Linked DNA regions of Rattus norvegicus. The main gene of each other region encodes a partner of the protein of the gene in region 2 in a complex. Links are inferred from orthologs where the notes say so. Each region holds a gene or a part of one and is shown on either strand. Other genes may lie near its edges.

The links.
Region 1: Cdhr2 (region 2) and Anks4b share a complex: the UniProt entries of both Homo sapiens proteins name them as parts of the IMAC/intermicrovillar adhesion complex. The link is inferred for Rattus norvegicus from reciprocal best matches to the Homo sapiens genes CDHR2 and ANKS4B.

Annotation. Positions count from the first base shown.
Region 1 is NC_086019.1:183,977,420-183,981,601, forward strand, and holds the start of Anks4b (ankyrin repeat and SAM domain-containing protein 4B), read left to right. Parts: upstream 1-1,382; 5' UTR 1,383-1,403; coding exon 1,404-1,567; intron 1,568-4,182. UniProt on the Homo sapiens protein: As part of the intermicrovillar adhesion complex/IMAC plays a role in epithelial brush border differentiation, controlling microvilli organization and length. Plays a role in assembly of the complex.
Region 2 is NC_086035.1:9,910,755-9,921,833, forward strand, and holds the start of Cdhr2 (cadherin-related family member 2 precursor), read right to left. Parts: upstream 6,945-11,079; 5' UTR 6,849-6,944; intron 1-6,848. UniProt on the Homo sapiens protein: Intermicrovillar adhesion molecule that forms, via its extracellular domain, calcium-dependent heterophilic complexes with CDHR5 on adjacent microvilli. Thereby, controls the packing of microvilli at the apical membrane of epithelial cells.

The DNA of each region.
Region 1 (4,182 bases), on a different chromosome or scaffold from region 2:
TGTTCTATAAAACACTACAAGTTCAATTTGGCAATTCCTTAAAGCTAAATAGAAATTACAACAAAACCCAGAAATTCCACACCTTGCTATATGCCCAAGAGATGTAAAAATATATGTTTACACAGGAACATCTATGTGACTGTTCTTAATAACATTTTTCATCATTAACTTAATGGACACAACCTAAACATCCAACCAGTATGAGAATTAAATGATAAAGGGTATTTGATATGCTAGTATAGAAGAATATTATTCAACAATTTAAAAAATCCTTCAAAACATATTCCTTTTAAATAAAGGCCACAAAACTATGTCACAGGATTCCAGTGACATAAAGTGCTCACAATTGCAGCTATATAGAGAGAAAATTGATTCATGGTTTCCTAGGGTTGGGAGTAGGAATTAGTTGCTAACAAACACAAAGGATATCTTTTAAAAGTTCTGTTGTTACATTTATTCATTTTTCTATGTGGTATGGGAGAGTCTGAGTTGGAGTGGGTTGAGGAATGGTTTTAGTGTGGAGAAAACATTGCAAAACTGAGTTTACAAGAGGGCAATTGGCATGTGTTTGAATTTACCAGTCTGACAAAACTAGAATTTAATAAACTCATTGACAAAAAAAGACCACCTACATGAAATAGTGCTGTACATGAATGGGATCTGTTGAAGCTGTCCACAGCAATCTCCACCATGCAAATGAGGGTAGCCTTGATTGGCTGATATTTGATTTCCAGAGGATACTGGGTTCACATGGTATAGCCTGTGGTTATACTTGGTTTAGATTGGCCTTCCTTATTTATATCATTCTACACTGGAAAGTGGTGAAGCTTTCTAGACCAAACTTTTTTATTTTTTTATTTTTTTTTGTGGGAGTTCCTGGAGAACCACCTGTTTGTCTTCCAGCCTGCCATCAGCCTTCTGTCCTCCACTGTTATGGTAAAGATTTCACAGCTGTGAATTTACCCAGATCTTTGATTTTATATTTCAAATGGTTAAATTCAACTTGTACAGACTATACCTGTAAAAATCTACTAAAACACTCCTTCTCCCATACCAGTGAACTTAACCAGTTTTGAGTTTTTTGATTATTTCCCATATTCTGTACCTAGGTGGTCAGTATCACATCTGACACTTGTTAATGGGCACAGTAAAGATTAAATGTGCTTCATCACATGCATGAGAGACACCAGAGGCCTCAATGTTCATTGTTATGGTTGGTCTTAAAAGTAAAGGTCCAAGTCCAGGACTGTAGGCCTTCTGGATGCCTTCCAAGAAGCGAGGGTGAAGTGAGCTTTGGCCTGGAGTAATACTCCCTGTCACTGATTAACCAGCCCCGTTGGAAGACTTGTGTGACCAGCACTGCCTAGACAAAGACACCTGGACAAGCTCTGGTGGGCAGAAAAATGTCTACCCGCTATCACCAAGCAGCAAGTGACAGCTACCTGGAACTTCTGAAGGAGGCCACTAAGCGTGATCTAAATCTCTCAGATGAGGATGGCATGACACCCACTCTCCTGGCAGCCTACCACGGCAACCTTGAGGCCCTAGAAATAATCTGCAGTAGAGGGTGAGTGATCCCTGTTAGGGCATCCTGGGTGGGGAATGCCACTCTGGCAGTGAGAGACAGAGATGTCCACATAGACATTTTGCTTCTTTGTAGGTCCTCTAAGTAGTTGGCTTTTAGAGAAAGAAAGACTAAGCTAGGTATGGTTTCTTTCCCTGTGAAACAGCCATTTAGAAGTCACTCAGGCAGAGGTGGGTAGGGTGTGGATTGTAACTATATGCCCTGAAAATCACCTCCATTGAATTTAAATGGTTAACTCTTTAAAAGGAGGTCACCATGCTTATTGGTTCAGTGATCTTCCTTGGTTAGGACATGGCTTTATTTTACTTTTCCAATCTTGTCACTAAAATCTATCTTTACAAGTACTCAGCCTTGATGTAAACTCCTGGTTCTTCTGGCTTTGCCATCTATAACATGAGTCTTCAGTCCATCTTTACACACACACACACACACACACACACACACACACACACACCCCATCCCTTAGCTTTAGATTCCAGTCTTTGCTAACTCTTTTATTCTGCTCACCCTGCTCATTGCCAGAGAGCTAGTCAGGGTAGGCAGTTACACTTAGATGGAGAGAAATGGAGCAAAAGAGGAGTTTGGGTGAGTGAGAAGAGTGGGGGGAAGAGGGAGAGGTAAAGAGTAAGGGAGTCAAATGACTCCAGTACAGTGCATATTTAGCATCTGGTAGGTGACAGTCCACCTCTCCCCCTTCTCTCCCCTTCTTCTGCTTTCTCTTTCTTCCACTCCCTCCTCTTCTGATTTTTCTTCTCATATATTTTTGGTGCTGTCCAGATGGTCCCTATCAACAAAACATCCTGGTGCTCTTGTGGCACTCAGATCTGAGAGGGGAAGCCAAGCAAGCAGCTTATGGTAGATGTGACAAAGTCTGTTCCAGGGAAGGGAAATTAAGCTAGTAGAGAAAGACGGGGAGCTGATCAAGGCTGAGGGAAGTGCTTTCCCCCTAAGGCAGAGAGCACTGTGCATTCCAAGGGTAGAAGACGTTGAGTTTGGCTGGACATGACTTGCACAGGAACAGACCTAAGCCATAAGACTGGACTATCAGGGGCCTTGAGACTTCTGTTCAGGACTTGAATCTCCTCCTGAGAGCCTAGAAACCACACCCTCTATTTACAGAGGAAGCAGTCACATAGATTTATGCTTATGAATATCGTTCTGGCGATTGTACATTAGTCACAGAGAATGTCTAGGGACGTTCAAGGTAAAAGTGAACTAACATGGTATCACTGGGTGTGAGTAGACACGGAGCTTTGAGTGACAGTTTGGATGTCAGATAGTGATTGGATGTGGCAAGTAAAGGAGGAGGAGGGTCAACATCTGTTTGGATTAAACAGATTGTAGATATGGACACCTCATTGAGTTGGGGAACATGTCAGAAAGAGCACGCCTACTCTCTATACCAAATCTTCTGAAACTTTATTCAAGATAGGTCTTTCTTCTTTTGAGTTAATGTCTCAATTTTGTTATAGCAATTAAATACATAACACACTTAATTTAATTTATAAGGATACCTTAATATTATAATCAGCAAATTTATTTCTTAGTTTATCCCCCTGTTTGATACATAATTCTTTTTTTCTAGTTTGCAGTGTTGTGGTGATTATTCCTCCACATAAGTCCTTGTCCATATTTTTTTCCCCGAGTGTAAATTCTCAGAACTGAAGTTTTTGGGTCAGTTGCCTGCACTTGTGCTATGATCACAAAATGCCTCGGGCAAAGTAATTTACAGAGGATAAAACTTATTCTATAGTTTTAAGAGCAGCCAGGAAGTCTAAGATCAAGTTGGCAAGAAGTTCAGTGCAGGGAGAGATCTTTCCATGCTGGCTCCTTATTGCTGCCACATCTGGGGTGAGGGGGACAGGGACGGAGCCCTCACATAGTAGGAGAGAGAAGATGCACGCGAACAAAATTCTGGAAAAGCAAGTTCCTTTCTTTGACAAGGAACCCCTTTACATGGTGAAGGCGGGGTTCCTGGTGAGGATGAAAACGCCAATGCTGAGCTGCCATGCACTTTCGTCTTTGTGAGCTGCGTGTCTGTAACATTGCCCCACTTTTATATGTCTATATAAAAGTGTGTGTGTCTGTGTCTATGTGTGTGTGTATGTGTCTGTGTGTGTCTGTGTGTGTGTGTAAGTATGTCTATGTGTGTATATATGTGTATGTGTGTATGTGTAAGTATGTCTATGTGTGTGTAAGTATGCCTATGTGTGTGTGTGTGTATGTGTGTATGTATGTGTCTGTGTGTGTATGTGTGTGTGTGTAAGTATGTCTATGTGTGTGTAAGTATGCCTATGTGTGTGTGTGTGTATGTGTGTATGTGTAAGTATGTCTATGTGTGTGTGTAAGTATGTCAATGTGTGTGTGTATGTCTATGTCTGTGTGTGTGTGTCTGTGTGTGTGTGTGTGTGTATGTATGTGTCTGTGTGTGTATGTGTGTATGTGTGTGTGTCTGTGTGTGTATGTGTCTGTGTGTGTATGTGTGTGTGTGTAAGTATGTCTATGTGTGTGTAAGTATGCCTATGTGTGTGTATGTCTATGTCTATGTGTGTATATATGTGTCTGTGTGTGTATGTGTGTGTGTAAGTATGTCTATG
Region 2 (11,079 bases):
GGCTCCTGCTTGATAACCAACACGCAGTGGCCACAGGCCTGAGGAAACCATATTGAACCTAAGCCTATGCGGGGAGATGCCTGTCCACGCAGAGCCCTGCCCTTTCCAGACAGGATGGTGGTGGATGGGGTTTTGTTGTTTGTGTGTATTTGTGTATTTGTCTCTAGCTCTGGATGTCTATGTAGACCAGGCTAGCCTCAAATTTAGATCTACTTTCCTTTGACCAAGTGCTGGAACTGAAGGTTGTTTTTCTGGGGGGGGGGGGGGGGGAAGACAGGGATTGTTTGTTTGTTTGTTTGTTTGTTTGTTTTGGTTGTTGCTGTTTTCACACAGGGGCTCTCTGTGTAGTTTTGGCTGTTCCAGAACTCTCTAGGTAGTCCAGGGTAGCCTCAAGCTCACAGAGATTTGTCTACATGCCAAATTCTGGGATTTAAAAGTGTGTGCCATGATGCCTAGCTGGCTCCTGTGTGCATGTGCGTGTCTGTGTGTGTGTGTGTGTGTGTGTGTGTGTGTGTGTGTGTGCGCGCACGTGTGCGTGTGTTTAATGTCTCACTATACTCCTAAGCTTTGGTCCCCCAGTCTTCCAAGCGCGTGTAGTAGTGCGTGGCCTTGCTATTGTCCTTTGGCAGTAGCCTTTGTGGCGATGTCTTTTTTTTTTTTTTTTTTTTTTTTTGGTTCTTTTTTTCGGAGCTGGGGACCGACCCAGGGCCTTGCGCTTCCTAGGCAAGCGCTCTACCACTGAGCTAAATCCCCAACCCCTGTGGCGATGTCTTACAGTCATGAATATCAAGAACTGGAAGGGGAGATCTCCAAGCAGGTGAAGATCTGAAGGGTGAGGGGGCCTCTGTGGGGAGCAGGAGAGCTTCGTGGGGTGGCCCTGCATTGGCTGCTACTCCTCTGCCCCCCTCTTAGAACCCCACCAGAATGGCAGTAGGAACGCTGGAAGCTAGTGACTTGTTGTCTTGGTGTCTGCCACCTCATCAAGCAGATGACACTTAAAACAGAGTAGGGGTGATGGGGGATACACCCCAGGAAGAAGACTTAAATCCCACCAAGGCTGAAAGTTCTATAATTCCCTGAAAGCAGCGGCATGGGGTGGGCCGAAAGAAGAGAAACTTCTGAGAGAAGCGACTGCACTTCTAGACTCCATTGCCCGAGCCATATGGGCAAGCACTGTCCCACCTTCTTTCTGCCCCAAGGAATGTGGGTCACTTCCAGAGAGTCTGGATCAGACACAGCTGAATCTGGGGACACCACAGAGGAGAAAGATCCATGGGATGGAGTGATGTGAAAGGCTGAACCCTTAACGGTGATGAAATGACACCCCCACCAATGACCAGAGACAGACAGCTGACAACATGGGGGAAGTGGAGGGGGGAGCTCCAGCCCAGTGACAGCTCCTCGCCTAGCTTGTGTGAGGAGCTGGGTTTCATCTCCAACATAGCAAACAAAATAATAATGTAAAAAAATGTAAATGACCCGCCTAAAGGGGAAAACTCTGAAATGTGTGAGGGAGGCTCTCCATAGGGTCACCCTGTCGTGTGGCCTCCAGGTGCTATCCACCGCCTGGGGGCCACCAACCAGAGTCATCGAGATGCAGCCATGGTAGGGAAGTGGACAAACTAAGCAGGACATTTAAACTCAAGCTGACCAACTCTGGAGAAACACAAAACACAAGAGACTTGTGTATCTGTTATAATCACAGATACCCCCAGAGCAGGACAAGAGGCTTCTACGAATGCCAACATTCAAGAGCAGAAATGTCTCAAAATGTGCGGGTGGCTGCCAGCAAACAGTAGGTACACACTAGAGACTGCCGTACATGCCTGCTCCCACAGAGATTCAGCGGTGCTGGGGCGGGGGACGTTGAACCCCTGTGGCTGCTAAGCTGTGAGATGCCCACTCCATCCACTACTCAATCCTAGCTGAAGCCCCAAATACCGTGAACAGAGCTGAGCAACTCTTGCTATACCTAATCTAAACTCCTACAGGAATATTAGTAACAGATGGCCGGTCAAGCCACCGTGCTCTGGGATGTATCTGATGCTCTGTGCAGCAGGCAGCGAGTGGCCAGGAGACTTTCTGCAAAATGCTGAAAATAACTGTTTTTCCAGCCTCGGATTCTGTCCATAACCACTAAAGCTATTGGTCACACAGTCTTAGACAGACCGAGCCTACATTGTTAGCTCTTAAGAGTCTTTCCTCAGGAAGCCAGTATAGGAAAAAGCCCAAGACACAAGACTGTATACTGGCACAGAAGGGAGGTAGAGGACCCTGAAGCCTAGGGGCTCCCACATCCCATGGGAGGTTTGCGTCTCTGGCAGAGTAAACGGATAGACTTGTGATAAAATAAGCAGAAAAACAGAGCGAACAACACCAGTGACAGCCAGTGGAAGTCAGTCCGGGGGCGACTCTCAGTGAGCTTGGGCTCTCCTCTCCCTGCCCTGCCCTGCCCTGTTCTGTGGGTGGTGTGCTGCGTACCCATATACCTATAGCTCTCAGGGGCTCCATGGACTTGAACCCCTCCCTTTTGTGCAAGAGCTTACACCTCACCTTGCCTCTGCGATCTCACTGGAGTCACAATGGAGCCTGCTCTTTCCCGAGACTCCATCCCCCATGCTCTGAGATTGAATGTAGAGAGAGGTCATAGGATACCAACCAGGGAGGGCAAGGCTTGCCACAAATGAAGCCAAGGTGTGCGTCTGGGGAAAGAGTTCAGGGTGGGGATGGTGGTGAGTGAATGAGACTGGGGTCTAGGGGGAGCTGGTGGGGGTGGGGGTGGCAAGGTGAGAATCAGGGGGGGAGCGGAGTGCTGATGTATATGCCACGTGTGTGCAGAAGGTCCTGGGGCTTCCTTGCCAGCTGGGCTGTCACATGAACACCTGACGTCTCCTTCTCGGGACTCTGGCTTTGAGCCTGACTCCTTTATCTCTTTCTTTTGATCGCCTTCCTTCTATTGGGTGTAAAGCAACAGCCACAGGCTGATCAATCGCTGATGCATGCACAATTCATCCAGTCATGTCACAAAGTTCACCTCAGCCCATCTCCAGGAAGGAAGTCTCTCTACCCAGTTCACCCCGGGGAGGGAGTTAATGATGCTGGGCAGTGCTGGGCTGACCCTTTGCACCTGTTATCAGTTGTTAGCAAAGAAGCTTGGAAGGAACCCACCACAGCCGATAGCAGGACACCAATCCGAAGGCAGGCAGCTGGGTATGCCTGTAATCCCAGCTATTTGGGAAGGGAGGGAGGAAGGCTGAGAGTTCAAAGCTAGCCTGAGAACTTGGAAAGATTGTATCTCAAGAAAAAAAAATGTTTTTTGAGATGGGGTTTCTCTGTGTAGTCCTGACTGTCCTGGAACTCACTCTATGAACCAGCCTGACCTTGAACTCAGAGACCAAGCCACCTGCCTCTGGCTCCTGAGTGAGGGATGGTATTAAAGATGTGTACCACCAGTACCCAACTGAAAGTAAACCTTTAAAGGCTTAGAGATATGTGTCAGTGCTAGAACACTGGCCCGATGTATTCAGGGCCCTGGGTTCCATACTCATCGATGGACAAACCTTGTTCTCCCTTTTCAGGGCCTTCTCTCTTCCTCCTTCCCTTCCTTGTTCTTCCTTCCCCTCTTCTCCCTCCCCCTCTTCTTCCTCTCCCTCCCTCTCTCCCTTTCTTTCTCTCTCCCTCCCTCTCTCCCTTTCTTTCTCTTTCTCTCTCTCTCTCTCTCTCTCTCTCTCTGTCTCTCTCTCTCAGACATACACACACATACCACATACACACACAAACACACACAAAACACATACACACACACACATACACACACACACAGGCTCACATACTTGCTCACACATCCATACACAAACACACACACACACACTCACATGCACACACTGACACACACATACACACACACACTCACATGCACATACTGACACACACTGACACACACATACACACACAGACACACACACACACACACACACACACACACACACACTCATATACACATTTCTCTCTCCCAGGTTACTCAGAACCCCTAGAAAGGTGCAGCTGAGGACAAAGAAACCAAACTGGGACCTTTGTTCCCCATGGCCCCTTGCAGGCTCCACTCAAGCCCCCTTCTCTGTTTCCTCCTACTTTCCCTCCTGTCCTCATGGTGTAACTCAGGTGATAGTGCCCCACACCTGAAAGCTCACGCGCCATCCCTGTTGAGTCACTCCTGGAGAGATGGCTTAGATACTCTGTTTTGCCTATGGGGATTCTCAAGTCTCCAGGAAGCTAGGTTTCCTGTCCAGCAGTCACAGAGTCATGTCTGACTCACTCCTAGAACTCCTTTGGATTCTCCTTCCTATACTGGATGAGTTGACCCTAAGTTTCTCAGCCTTGTCCCCTTTGTCACAGTGACTTTTCACAAGCATACTCACTAACAATAATAAGGCCAAAGTTCTGCACTTGACAGCAGCATCTCCCAGACTCCATCACTTAAGAAAAATGTGTTGTGAGATTGGAAGCACCTGGTGACCTGCCTCACCTCGATGGCACAGGCACTCCCAAGACCTGACCTGTGCAAAGGCTCAGACCAGCTGTTGGACACACTTCCCACCTTTGGCAAGCCAAATCCTTAGGGGACCTGGGTCTCACCTTCCAAGAGTGGTTCCCTTTCCCTCTTGCCGTATCCTGTCCACAGTCCGCACCCACACACACACACACACACACACACACACACACACACACACACTGCATCATCTTTCCCCTTGATTTGCATGTGTCTCTTCTGCGCCAAAGGCCCTCTTGTGTCCCTTGCCCTTGTGCAAATTCTCTCTGTCCTTCAAGGCTCAGGTCACAGCTAGAGTCTCTGAGCTCCAGTCAGGGGTCATATGCTACAGGACATACAGGAGAAGAGAGGGGATGTGCCCAGGTACTGGAGCTGGGGAAACTTCCCCCAGGTGCCCTTTCCTCCTCGGAGGGACCAAAAGTCAAACGTAGGCTCACGTGAGACACCACTGATGCCAGCCCCCGTCCACTTTGCGCCTGATATAGTTTGTATCTTTAAGAGATCGGAAGCTGGGCCTGGAGTGCCACCAGTATCCTATTACTCAGGAGAGAGGAGGCTCTCTAGTTCTAGACTAGCCTCAGCTGTATGGAGAGACCTGTAAAAGGAGAGAGAAGCAGGGAGGGAGGAAGAAGAAGATGGGGAAGATGAAGAAGAGGAGAGGAAGAAAGAACAGATCTAGACCCTAGAAATCCAAGGTGCTTGCTCCCAAGCTCCTGCCGCCTTATTTGAGGCTGGGCAGGAGGCTCTCTACTGAAGCAGGCTAGCTGTGCCGGGCAAGCCATGGAATGAGGAGATGTTCTGGTGTGTTCCATCAGTGTGTTCAATTATTTAGTGTCCCCTAAAAGCAAAAATACTCAGCTACTCATGCTATAACGTGTCTGAGGAAAAGTCGGGAACACCAGGGGCTCCAGATCACTCGATGGACCCCCAGGCTCCCAGACCCAGGCCATCCACAGCAAGGGGGCTCCTCCCTCTTATCTCAGAGGACACGCTGGCCGCAGCTCACAAGACTCCAGGAAACCAAAGGCTCTACAGTTCAGTCCACTGGATGTGAGGATCCCAGACCTCTTGGAAGGCCACAGAGGAAGGGAGCCCTCCTCCACTAATGACCCAGCTACAGGCTTCCTCACCCCACAGCCACCCCGCCCTGCCGCAGCCTCAGAAGTTCCCTGAGCCCTTCCTTTCACTTCTGCTTTCTTTTACTCCTTCGCACAGCTGATCTCTGGGAGCAGCTATCCTACCGTTACTGTTCATCAACCTTTTCGGACGGCCAACCACAAAGGGTTAAACACCAGCAGCGGGCAAGGCTGGACCCAGGTACCACTCTGCTGACCCTACAGGGGTCTCTTCTGATCCCACCAGCCCAGCCAAGTGATGCAGCTGCAAAGATAGGGACCCAGGGACCTTTAAGTGTCCATGCCCCAGGTATACTAGGCTTCTTATAGCCAGAGATGGTGCCCGCCCTCTTGGCTGCTTCTTCTGAGGGGACAGATATGGATCAGGCCCCAGGTTTGGATTTCAGCATTTCACATACAAGCCTGCCCTACCCTCAGCTACAGTTTTCCTCTGAGGAGTAAGGTGAGGGCAGGCTACGTCCTGTGCCGATCAGGAGATCGGCATTATGCTCTGAAATGCTGCCTGGGAGCAACCAGCAAGTAAGTCCTGTCTAAAGACGAGCTGGCCCAGCTGAGTCTTTACCCTGTGACCAGGATGAGGATTAAGTTAGGGTTGGGACCAGCATAGTTAGTCCTCCCTGAGGTGACCTAGCATTTGATCTCTGAGTCTGTGAGGGACAGCCTCCAACCCCTGCCATGTCTACTTCACAAGCCCTCCCCAGGTTACTAGTATCATGCCACCCCACCGATGCAGAGACCAAGGACCAAAAGCAGTCAGCAGCTCACTCAGAGTCTGCAAGGAGCTGAATGAAGATCTGAGCCAGGCGGAGTGGAGCCAGCCTTTCCCCCTCGGGCCCATGGCCAGATTCAGCCATCTTCCTCATCTTCCCCTTTCAGATAACAGATGAGGTTGTCGATTAGTTTCCTAGGGGAACCCTTCTCCTCAGGCTAGAAATACCCCAGGGACAGCAGGAGGTGGTCACTGCCTGGAGAGGAAGGAGGTCTTAGCCCTGCATTCCAGAAGAAACAGGCTTCACTGGTGGCCTCACCAACTCAAGCCTGGCTCTGCCCATCCCAGTGGCTAATGACACAGCTAGCTCTTCCCCCTGGTGTCCCCGCCACGCTCCAGATGCCAAGTCGGAAAGACCTCAAAGTTTGCCTCAATCCCAAGGACCCCGGCTTACCCCTGGGCTAAGAGCCCCCGAAGCAGCTGAGCTGGACAACCCCTGGAAGGGGCCCAGAGGTGGTGATGTGCACCCAGTCACAGGTGAGCACTGTCTGGGCCCGGCAGAACACAGCTGCAGACTTTGGCACCATCTCCACCTCCCCGGAGCAATCATTAACCATACAGAGACCACACCTCCTCAGAAGGCACTGGCTGCAGCTAGGGCGGGCAAGGCCCTAGGGCTGAGGTACTAGAGGAGTAGGCAGTCCCACTGCCAGAGAAGGGGCAGATGTCCAGCCCAGGGTTCTGCTGCAAACTGGAGATGGTGACAGTCAGGGGACATGTCAGGGCCATCTCTCCTCTCCTGGTTCATCTTCTGGAGAGGGGACCTGTGGAGAAAGTGGGGTGGGGAGATCTGTTGGGGTGAGGAGACTTGACAGTTATCAAGCACTGAGCCTTCAAGCCAAGGCCTGAGGCTGGTGTGAAAGGGCACCCTGAAGCCTTTTCAGCCCCATATCTGTCCCCTCCAAGCAGGACATCAAAGGTCAGGGTCAATGCAGGGCATAGTGGCACATGCCCTTAATCCCAGCCCTCAGAAGACTGAGGCAAGTGGATCCCTATGAGTTCCAGGACCAGCTGGTCTATAGAACAAGTTTTAGACCAGACACAGCGAGATGTTATCTCTCAGAAACAAAGGTGAGCTGGGGAAGTGGCGCCTTCGATCCCGGGATTTGGGAAGCAGATGCCCATAGATCTCAGAGTTTGAGGCCAGCGAGTTCCAGGGCAACCAGAGTTATGCAGAGAAACAAACCAAAAATAAAAACCAACAAAATCAAAATCAAAATCAAAGGGCAGGTTCACACACTGCCCCAGGGTCTCCTCACACTCATAAGGGCAGGGTCACACACTCCCAGTGGTTGCCTCCCATGGGGGAACAATTCCCAAGTTCATTTCATCCAACCGCATAGCACAGCCGTGTGCCTCTTCCTACCTGAGTGGCCTGAGGAAGCTGCTGCTCCCTCTTGATACTGAGGCATCCCTTTGAGGTTTTGGTGTGCTGACACAAGTTCTCAGGGAGCACCAAATCCACCAAAAGAACTCATGGTTCTTCAAGGTCCTGGCGAAGACTGGCCTCAAGTCGCTGGGGGAGGGGCTAGAATCCGTATTTATTGAGCACCTAGTGTAGGCATAAATTTTTCTCAACCTGCTTTAATAAGGGTTCAACCTCCCCTCGAGCCCGCCACCCTCCAGGGGTAGTAGAAAAGAAAGGTTATTAGGATACTAGGGAAGTGGACCTGTTTAGAGACAGTTCTTTGGGAATCTTCTAATCTCCTTAGTTCAATCCACAAGCAAACACCAAACACGAATCAACACCAGCAGCCCAGTCTTCTCAGCAGACACCGCACGGGAATCAGAAGAAACCTTGAGTCTCGCCAACTGGCCGGAGTGAGTACACAATGTAATGCCAACCAATACATGGAGGTCGACAGCGAAGACTAGTGAGTGAGGTGGAGTGAATGGAACCAATCAACGCTGGGGCTCCCACTGTCTGTGGGGTCATATTTAAAATCTTTCTAAACACCACACGTCCTTTCACGTGTCCGCTTTAGCAGAGCATCCTTTTGCCTGTGTGCCCCAGCAAAACATCACCTGAGATCACCGACTTTCCAAAGAAACCGGAAGTTTCCACTTCAACCTACTGTGTGCTTTACATTGTGTCTCATGGATGCTGGATACCACCAGAATTAAGGACTATGCTTGTGGGGTCAATCCCCCCACCAGGAACGGAGCTTAAATTCATGTTTGTTTCTCAGTCACTGGCTGAGAGGAGCCCACTCTCAGACAGAAAAGGGTGCCCTGTTCCTCCCCATTACTTCCCCTGGGGGTATTCTCTATGCTCTCCCTGCCCACAAAGCATTCCCCGACCCTGACCCCCATCATGGGTACCAGTGTCCAAATAGCCTAGGAGCCCTTACCCAGGGAACGGTCCTCTAGTTTCTTCTAGGAAACCCAGAAACGCGGCTCCTCCACTCCATGCTGGACATGTGGCTGAGGCCTAGCCTGTCAGAGTTAGAGTCACAGAAAATGGACAGGTTTGGTTGTAAGAATGAGAAGCCAGGGGGGATGTTTGCCCGGATACCGGGAAAGGGAATAACACTCGAAATGTATATAAGAAATACTCAAGTTAATAAAAAAAAAAAAAAAAAAAAAAAAAGAATGAGAAGCCAGCCATGTTGGCCCGTGCTTATAATCCCTGCAGGAAGGGACAGGCAGGAGAATGATGGGTTCAAGGCCAGCATGGGCGACATAGCATCTTAATAGCAAAGGAAGTCCCATTGGAGCAGGTAGAGAAAGGATTGAAGGAGCTGAAGGGGTTTGCAACCCCATAAGAACAACAACGCCAACCAACCAGAGCTCACAGGGACTAAACCACCATCCAAAGAGTACACATGGACAGACCCATGGCTCCAGCTGCATATGTAGCAGAGGATGGCCTTGTTGGGCACCAATGGGAGGAGAAGCCCTTGGTCCTGCCAAGGGTGGACCCCAGTGTAGGAGAGGTCAGGGTGGGGAGGTAGGAAGGAAGGATGGTTGGGGAGGGGGAACACCCTTATAGAAGAAGGGGGAAGGGATGGGGGCCTATGGACGGGACATTTGGAAAGGGAATAACATTTGAAATGTAAATTAAAATATCCAATAAAAAAAGAGAAAAGGAAGAAAGAAAGAAAGAAAGAAAGAAAGAAAAAAGAAAGAAAGGAAGGAAGGAAGGAGGGAAATAAGGAAAAGGAAGGAAGGAAGGCAGGCAGGCAAATTTAATAGTCTCAAGTAATCAGCTTCATTTGGAATGGTTGAAAGCATGGATTTTTTTTCCTCCCAATCTGGAGTCTAAACTGTAAAAAAGTGACTAGGGCATCACATAGCTGCTTTAATGTCCTGAGGGCAAATAAGTGAGATACCCCAAGACTAAGTAAAACAGAACTGGGGGGGGGCGAGGATGGGGAGGGGAACACCCATAGAGAAAGAGAGGGGGAGGGGTTAGGGGGATGTTGGCCCGGGAAAGGGAATAACAATCAAAATGTAAATAAGAAATACCCAAGGTAACAAAGATGGAAAAAAAGAAAAAAAAACGAAAGTGGTAGAAACAGGCACTATGTAAATGATATGTAAATTAGGGGCGGGCCCCTGCACTTTAAGAGCTAGTGCCCCCCACCAAGCAGTTCACTAGCTCACTCCCATTCTCAAGATTACTTTCCCGGGTTGGGGATTTAGCTCAGTGGTAGAGCACTTGCCTACAAATGCAAGGCCCTGGGTTCGGTCCCCAGCTCCGAACAAAAGGAAAAAAAAAAAAAAAAAAAAGAAAAGAGTACTTTCCCTTTCTCAATAAACTGTCTTTACATTTACTTCCAGAAGAAGGAATGCATGAATAACTAAATAAGGAATAAAGAAAGAAGAAGAAAAAAAAACAAAAAACAAACAAACCCAGAACTCAGAAACAGAAACACGGGGGCAGGGAGGGGTGGTGGTGGCGGAGGCCTTTAATCCATTGCTCTGGAGGCAGACCCTGTCTTAAAAACAAACGAACAAAAAGAAAATAGAAACAATATCTTCTTAGTGACTTGCTCTGTAGACCAGGCTGGCCTCCGACTCATAGTGACTTTCCTCTGCCTCCCAAGTGCTGGGACTAAACGCATGCACACCGCCGCCCAGCTTTATAGGATTCTTAGGAAGACTAGAGAAACACCGCCAGGGAGATGGTTCAGCAGGTAAAGGACAACCTGAATCAACCCCTAGGACCTAGCTGGAAGAAGAGAGCTCACTCTGACCTCCACATAGGAGCGGTGGCACATGCATGCCCCACTCCCCAGATGTAAAGAAAAATGTTTAAAAGACCAAAGAACTAAGACATCACTCCTGGAGTGCTGCCTGGAGGACAGCAGAGATGACCCGCCCACACTGCTGCCACTCACTTGGGCTTCCCCAGACCAAGCTTTCCTCAGATGCATGCTGTCTCATTACTACTATTAGGCTGCCTACTAGTCCTCCGCAGAGCCACATCCGGTTCACGCTCAGTAGATCTGTGCCGTGTAATCGATATAGATGGACATTTTGTCAGAGTAGTTTGATCCCCAAACCCTCTCAAATTTAAGACATTTGATTAAGATATAGGTAGCTGGTTATGCTGGAACACAACTTTTAATGCCAGACTTTGGAAGAGACAGGTGGATCTCTGAGTTCAAGGCTAGCATGGT